Linked DNA regions of Canis lupus familiaris. The protein of the gene in region 1 interacts with the protein of each later gene in a biochemical or structural test. Links are inferred from orthologs where the notes say so. Each region holds a gene or a part of one and is shown on either strand. Other genes may lie near its edges.

What was found.
Region 2: the proteins of PEX5 (region 1) and PEX13 form a complex in vitro, tested with the Homo sapiens proteins (3 studies listed by BioGRID). The link is inferred for Canis lupus familiaris from reciprocal best matches to the Homo sapiens genes PEX5 and PEX13.

What each region holds. Positions count from the first base shown.
Region 1 is NC_049248.1:8,232,644-8,236,689, reverse strand, and holds the start of PEX5 (peroxisomal biogenesis factor 5), read right to left. Parts: upstream 2,810-4,046; 5' UTR 2,742-2,809; intron 2,475-2,741; exon of another isoform or gene 2,452-2,474; intron 2,405-2,451; exon of another isoform or gene 2,261-2,404; intron 2,101-2,260; 5' UTR 2,085-2,100; coding exon 1,938-2,084; intron 1,604-1,937; coding exon 1,568-1,603; intron 1,285-1,567; coding exon 1,152-1,284; intron 931-1,151; coding exon 799-930; intron 1-798.
Region 2 is NC_049231.1:62,415,652-62,419,167, reverse strand, and holds part of PEX13 (peroxisome biogenesis factor 13), read right to left. Parts: coding exon 3,039-3,516; intron 2,527-3,038; coding exon 2,401-2,526; intron 105-2,400; coding exon 1-104. UniProt on the Homo sapiens protein: Component of the PEX13-PEX14 docking complex, a translocon channel that specifically mediates the import of peroxisomal cargo proteins bound to PEX5 receptor.

The DNA.
Region 1 (4,046 bases):
AACTAGGCTGGGACCCTGAAAAACTTAGGGTGCAGGCCTGGCAGAAGAGCACCATGGTTCAGCCCACAGGGTCTGGAATCATTCAAAGCCAGAGTCAAGTCCCAACTCCACCTCTTACAAAACTGTATCACCTTGGGCAAATCACTTCATCTCAAAGCCTCTTTTCTTATTTATATGCTAGGAATAAAAACAGTAACTACCTCAAGAGTTCTGATGAAGATCGAACAGATAATACATTGAAACCAATTAATACAAAGCCTAGAATATGATAAGTACATATTAGCTATTGTTATATTTATTACTGTCATCAGGATATGGTCTTTGCCCTCTAAAACCTTATATGTCAGGCCCTTGAACACAATTCCACTTTCCAAGGCCTCAACTCTGTTTAAGATGACTTAATGCCAGAATCCCACGGGCTGTGCTTAGTATTTCTTCCTGGGCAATACTGCCATCCATCCAATCTGTGGGTCTTCACCACCAAACTACAGTAATAAAGTTCCAGATAACAAAGGGTTCTCTCTCCTATTCTCTCTTTACATAGAGAGACACAAAGAGATACATATACTCTCCAAAATCTCTTACTGAGTTCCAATTCAGTCCCATTTCATGTAAGTTTCAATAACTCCCTATTATCACCTAAGGGAGATCAGGCTCAGTGCCCTAGAGAAATGAATCAAGAGTCCAGGAAAGTCATAGAAGCTGAAGTCAGTCTATATCCTAAGATGAACTGGGGGAACAGAACAGAACTCTGCCCCACTATGAACCACTTTTAGGTTTACCCATGACCATCCTTACCTGTTACTTCAGATATGAATTCTTGGGACCAGTCAGTCTCATTATAATCCTGAGTTACATCCACAGCATCTCCAGCAGCAAGAAACTCCTGGGCCCAGTTCTCAGACAAGGCCAAGTCAGCCACACCAGGAGCTTAAGAGAAAGAAAGAGAACTAAGAAAAAAGAAAAAAAAGAAATGCATATCATTCTATGCATCATGCCTCAGGAATCCTGAGTGCACATGAAAACACTGTGCCCCTTTTGTCTCCTTCTGCAGCTCAGTTCCTCAATGCCAGAAGCATCCAGATATGGAACCCCCTCAGTCTTACTTGCATGGAAAATGGTGATCCCCCCCCACCAGACTCTGGACCCACCTCTCTGGGGTGCCTGGCGGAAGTTTGACTGTTCAATCTCCTGCATCTCTGCCAGGAGGTCATCCATCTTGAAGGTCTGAGGGGCACGGGATACAAGTGGTGCATTCTGGTCCTGGAGAAATTCGGCCACCAACTGCCAGAAGAAAGATGATAAAAGAACTCAGCAAGAGACAGGGCCCGGTGAATGAGGGACTATAACGTCAAACACAAGGAAAGAGAAACCCAGAAACTACAAATTGGAAATACTCAAATAATACATAAAAAAAAAAAAAAAAAAAAAAAAAAACAAGCAGAAGAAATAAGGCAAATCTCACTTGGTCAAGAAGGCCCAAAGGGTGAAATATAGGTGAGCCAGGTTTAAAGTAAAAACACGATGGGCAAAAGAAAAAGGGCACTGAACAGACTGGCACGTTTACCTCATCTTCAGACGCTACTCCCAAAGGCTTAGAGACCTAAGACAGAAAAGAAAGGGAGGCAATAGGGTACAGTGATGAAGTCCACACACACAACCCCGCTCGGCAGAGGTTAAAATGCCTCTAGCGTCTAGAGTGACCTTGGGCAAGTCACAGAACTTCCCTGAGCCCCCGCTTCTTCACCTGTAAAATGACTGCCTTGATCTGTATAAAGATGCACAATGCTTAGCACCGTGTTGAGTGAACACTCACTAGTCGTGATAGCTACTCCTATTTGCGACCCAGCAGAGAAGGCAGTTATCCCAAACTGTCTGTCCATGGGGCCCCTCCATCCGGAGCCACGACCTGAGTTTTCCACCTCGGGAACACTCACCGCCTCAGAGGCCGGGGCTCCTGGGGGCCAAGGGCCAGGCCTCAACCCCTCCTGCCGGAGGGCCTTGTCCTGGGTGAAATGCCCGGCCAGCTTCATCAGCGGGTTGGCACCCCCGCATTCGGCCTCCACCAGCTCCCGCATTGCCATGGTGACCGCCAGCTCACTGATGGGCAGAGAAGGTTTGGAACTGAGGTCCCGCTGCCAGGTCCTCCTCCAACCCACAACTCAGCCCGTATCAGGCCGGGGGAGGCGGGCAGACGTCGGTCCCAGGTTGTGAGCCACTCGCCACCCTCCACCGCTGTGCCTTTTGCTACGGCCCCCACCTCAGCCAGGGATCCGAGACGGGGCCGGTGCCCTGCTGCCGCCCCCTCAAAGGCCTCGGCTTTCAGCCCGGGCCTCTCGGGCGGCCTCCACGACTGCGGTCTCCGGCGGCCGGGCCGGTCGGCAGCCGCCCCCCACACGGGGGCCTGGACCCCAGGGGGCTGAGGAGCAGGATCCCACAGTCGGGCCGTACCGGGGCACTGCGCGCGCGAAGAAGAGTGGTAAGGCCGCCAGCGCGCAAGCCCACGGCCCCCAGGCCCGCCGCCGGCGAGCTCCGCGGGGAGCCATTCCTTCCCCACCACAAGTCACCTGAGCCCCTCCCCCATTCGGCGGGTCGCGGCCCACCCCTCCTGCGCTCCGGACCACCCATTTCCCCCGCCCCAGACGCAGCTCCAGCTCCGCCCCCGGGCCCCGCGAGGACCAGGCCGGGCCGGAGGAAGACCCGGAACGCGTCCTCGCGCCCCCTCGGGACCCGGCGCTCACCGTCGCGCGCCGCGCCGCGCCGCACGACCCGCCGGGGCACCTGGTGCGGGCTGAGGGGGGAGGGGAGGGGAGGGAGGGGCGGGGAGCCAGGGGCGGGGCTCGGGCTTAAAGGGGCCGTGGCGGCCGCGCAGCCTACGCTGCCCTGCGGGAAGCTGTTTGTAGGGGCGGGGCCTCAAGGCTGCGGCGCCGCGTGACGGTTGGAGCCGTGAACCTTAAAGGGGAAGAGCGCCTTAAAGGCGAAGTCTTGGAGCGGCGACCCCGAGAGCGCTACAAAGGCTCGCCCGCACTGGGACTGGTTTGCTGGGAAGCTCAAAGAAGGATGGAGCTAGGAGGGGCTGCCTGAGCTTTGGGGGGAGATCCGCGGGACCGTGATCCTGGATTCAGCTGACTCTTACTCGGCGGCACATTGTGACCCAAGGGGATTCCCTGCCCTTTCTGGGCCTCAGTTTCCCCTCCTATAAAGGGGCTGGCGGCTAGTCTTCCTAAGCCCTGAAGCAGGTAAGAGGAAGGCCCTAACACAGGTGTTGCAGGGGTCAAATCCAAGGCCTTCCTCAGCCTCCTAGTGATGTCCACTTCCAAACTGCCCCAAGCGGGACATCGTCACAGTCTCCTTGGAGACAGAGGCCTGCCCCCAATCCCTCTGCCGCTTCTGCGTGGTGGGGAATATAGCGCTGGATGATGACAAATTCCGGAGACTAAAATAGGATACGACGACGCATCCTGAGTCCTCTCAAGCTGGTAACATACAGGGAAGGTGCACAGTGAATCACTAGTCTCCTCTCCTTCCTCTCTCCCCACTGGTCAGGGTCATTATGGTGGTCATATTCCCACTGCTCCAGACTGGGAAAGCACAGACATGGTGCAAGAAATGATTTTTAATCACAGAATAAGCCTCAGGCCCCACCATCTGCCACAGCCATTGGCTCTGATGTCAGACTTCAAGGGCGTAAACCCTGATACCTTACCTGACTCCCAGACCAAGGGAGACCTGGTGCCACCAAGAAGGGCAGAAGGTGCTCAGGGCTGCTGGTAATTGAGCAAGGATGGGTTAGTACCAAGACAGAAGCGCTCTCCCAGCCCAGGGTGCAGGAGGGAAGACAGACAGCAGGTGGCGCCCTGGGCCAGGCTTGTTTCCTATTGTCCGGCACATTTCTAAGGTGGAGGCCCCAGGGGATCAGAGGAGCTTGGTTCTGTAAACTCCTCCCAGGGAAAGTAAAGAAGCTGCTCTGACACCGCAGGAGAACAGAATGACAGGCCAGACCTGAAAATTGTGCAGAATTTCTCCTCTTCTTACCTTTTCACCAT
Region 2 (3,516 bases), on another chromosome or scaffold:
ACCTCTTCTTTTACCAAGAATTTTTACATAATTAGCAGGTATAAGTCCTGTTGTTTGACCATCAAGACTAGCCAGAAGCCAACCACGCACTTTGGGTTGCTGTTCTGATGGAAGAAAAGACAGCCTTGTAATTATAACACACACTTTGGAGTCCAACACAATATCGATAATAAAATATTATGTAAAATCTGTGTTATATTTACACACTAAAATATATAAACAAATGGTATATACATTTAAAATCAAATGATGAGTAGACTTAACAGTTCTAGGGTCGCTTCTTATAATTTATACTTTTTACTTTATACTTACTAAATATATTTTCAACTTTGAAGAACATGAAGTTTATATCAGTTGGACCAGTCATAGAGTAAGGAGATTCATTCTCCCAAAAGCTAAAACTAACATCAGTGTCTTTCATATTTTAAATTGAAATTTAAGAAATGAATTTCTCATTTCTTTTCAATAGAACTTAGAAGCAAGTATAGAAAATATATACCTTTATTCAGCCAGATTCTTTATATACTTTTGGCCAAAATATAAAATTCATTCTATGTGATTGTGATGAACCTTTTTTTTTTTTAAAGTAGGCTCCATGTTGGCATGACCTGAATTCACGAATCCTGAGATCAAGACCTGAGCTGATTATCAAGAGTCCAACACTTAAACAATTGAGCCAGCCAAGTGCCCCTGTGATGAACAAACAATTCCGAAGATAGTGAATGCTGTGGATTTTAATTCAAGATGAGGAAAAACAAAGACCTCAGTTATCTCTAGACATATGACAAAAAAGGTAAGGCAATACTTTAAGCTTGAAGTAGGAAAGATTTACTTAATATATTCAATTTTGTATTTTGGTATTTTAAAGATACAGAGTATCTGTAAAAAGCTGTCTCTCATTTTAGTTCAGCAGTATAAGTCAGGTACAATATAACATTGTGTTAATACTCTACTATAGAGAAAAAAAACGCAAAATGAACCATATTTGTGACTGTTTTCGTTCTAAATGCTCAGATGTACGTTACGTGAGCAATGGAGAAAAGAAGCAAAGCTAAAGTGTTAAGAGGCATCATTAGTGGAAGAATAATTTTAGATATAAAATTTTCCTGAAATATTATATGTAATTGAAAGAAACCAGACTTGATCTTTTTTATACTTTACATTAAAACTAATTATTCTTATGAGTCCTAATTCTAACAATAAATCTTAAAATGGAATTATTCTTTTAAAATTCAAAATAGTTAACTGCTATTTTCACTAGAAGAAAAATATAATATTTAGAAACCTAGGTTTTATGTATGAGGGATGAAGCAGAGATTTAGCAAATTTGACCCAAATTTTTCAATTATTTATATAATAAACAATTTGCACACTGAAGGTATTTTTCCCCATATAAAAAATGATTACACTAATTAAAGGTTCAAGTTTCCATTAAAAGATCACATAGGAAACAGCCCAGGCCCTTACAAGTATAGGTTCTGAAGTCAGATAAACCTAGGTTCATAGTCCTGCTCCATCACATCTTAGCTTTGTGATCTCGGACAATTTAGTCATTCTGAGTCTTAGATTTTTGTAAATAAAACAGAGACAGTACAATAATAGTACCCACTTCATATCATTTTTGTAAGGGTTAAAAGCAGGATCTAAACTATAGTGCCTTGTACTATAAAGGACAGCTGTTACTGTCATTAGTATCTTTACCAACAAAATGTTATTTTTCCTAGCAAACCTGAATCCCCACAAACACACAACCTCCCCATCGCCAATTCATTAAAAATTTTGATCATCATTACTGGGGAAAGCTAAGGAAAAAAGCTATTTTGCCTGGAGCCATTAAAAACTATTAGTGTCCTAGTCCAAAAATAAGCCTGAGATATGTATAAATTTCTTGCTGAGATTCTTTAAAAATTCATGACAGTAATTCCTAAAATGTTCATGTTGGTGTTTCTGAAGTAAACACCATTCAAATAAAAAAGAAAGCAATACCAGTCCAAGCAAAGACTGACAGGGATACTTACATGACACTGGATAATTTCTTTGGGTTGTTAGATTTATTACACATAGTGCTTACCTCATGGTTTTTTGTCTTTTGTTTTTTTTTCCTCCTCATGTTTTTGTGTAGGGGTTAACAGGGCTTGGAATTCAAGTTTTGAGTTTAGAAGAGATGATATAAACAAAATCTTTCCCTATCTCAGTGAAATATTACTGTAACAACTCTGTTGGGCATTTCTCCTCCACACCCTCAGGTTTGGAAGTTCTAAACTGACACGAAAAGAGAAATTCTAGCGACTACTTCTGAGTTAACTAACAATGAACAAGATCCTTTATTGCAGTTTTTAATACTACATTTACAAATTCAAAAAATTCATGGATAATTCCAATTTATTCATGTTTTGTTACCTTTGAGAGCTAAGTTTAGCATATCACCAGCACGGAAAGAAATTTCTTCTTCAGATACAGCAGCAAAATCATATTCTGCTCTAGCAACTACGTGGTCATCCTCACCACTTGCCCAGTTGGTATTGTCTACAAACCAAATTAAGAAATAAGAGTTATGACTATGATTTGTAAACTCCATAAATCTACTTCCCAAGAGAAAAGTACCCCCCAAAGTAAATTCTATAACACTGCATAAAATCCAACAATATGTTCACTACGATATCGATTGATTATGAACTTTCTTTTTCTTTAAGCTCAAAATTACAATTACCTGTATATTCTTATCCACTTCCCGGTCAGTAAGTTTTAGAAAGATAAGGGAATTATGTCCTATGTATCTTTGTATCCTCTACAGTATTAAGTTCAGTATATTGTAAACAGTAGTCAGGCAATGTGTGCCGTTTTGTTAACAAACAATAAATAAATCCATAAACTTATTTTTGCTACATACTCATTTTCCAGTTTTCAAGTTCTTAACTGAAAATATAGCTGGATCAAAATATTAAATACAAAGGACTATGAAGAATGCTAATTTAATAAATCTATTCTTGAAATTTGAGATTGTTATGTGGTTTTTGAATGCATTCTTTTACTCTTACCTGTTACTTCATCATTATGGGTAGACAGCAGTTTCCAGATGAGGTAAGGACCACCAAGGATAACAGCAAAGAACAAGAATATTGGCCAAGATTTTGCTGAGTTAGCTGCTCTGTCCTCAGCACCAAGGCAAGCCACAGTTCCTTCACTTTCTGCCCATAGGTCCTCATTCTCAGAGCCTCTTCTTAAACCTATCATCCACTGTAACCGTCTATAAAGATACCTTATAGTCCTGACTAATGCAAAAGCTGAAAAAACCTTTGTGAAATGGATTTTTAATCGGGAAAAGTGATTTGCTACATCCAATACAGCCCTGAAACTGTTATAGACAGCTGAAAAGGTAGCATCCATCATCATACTGACGGAGGCAAATGCATGCACAATACTTTCAATGGACTGAAATGCACCTCTGCTGCTTTCTTCAGCTTGCTGAACAAATCTACTGGGTGGCAGATCATCTACCCGGAGGCGGTTATAGCC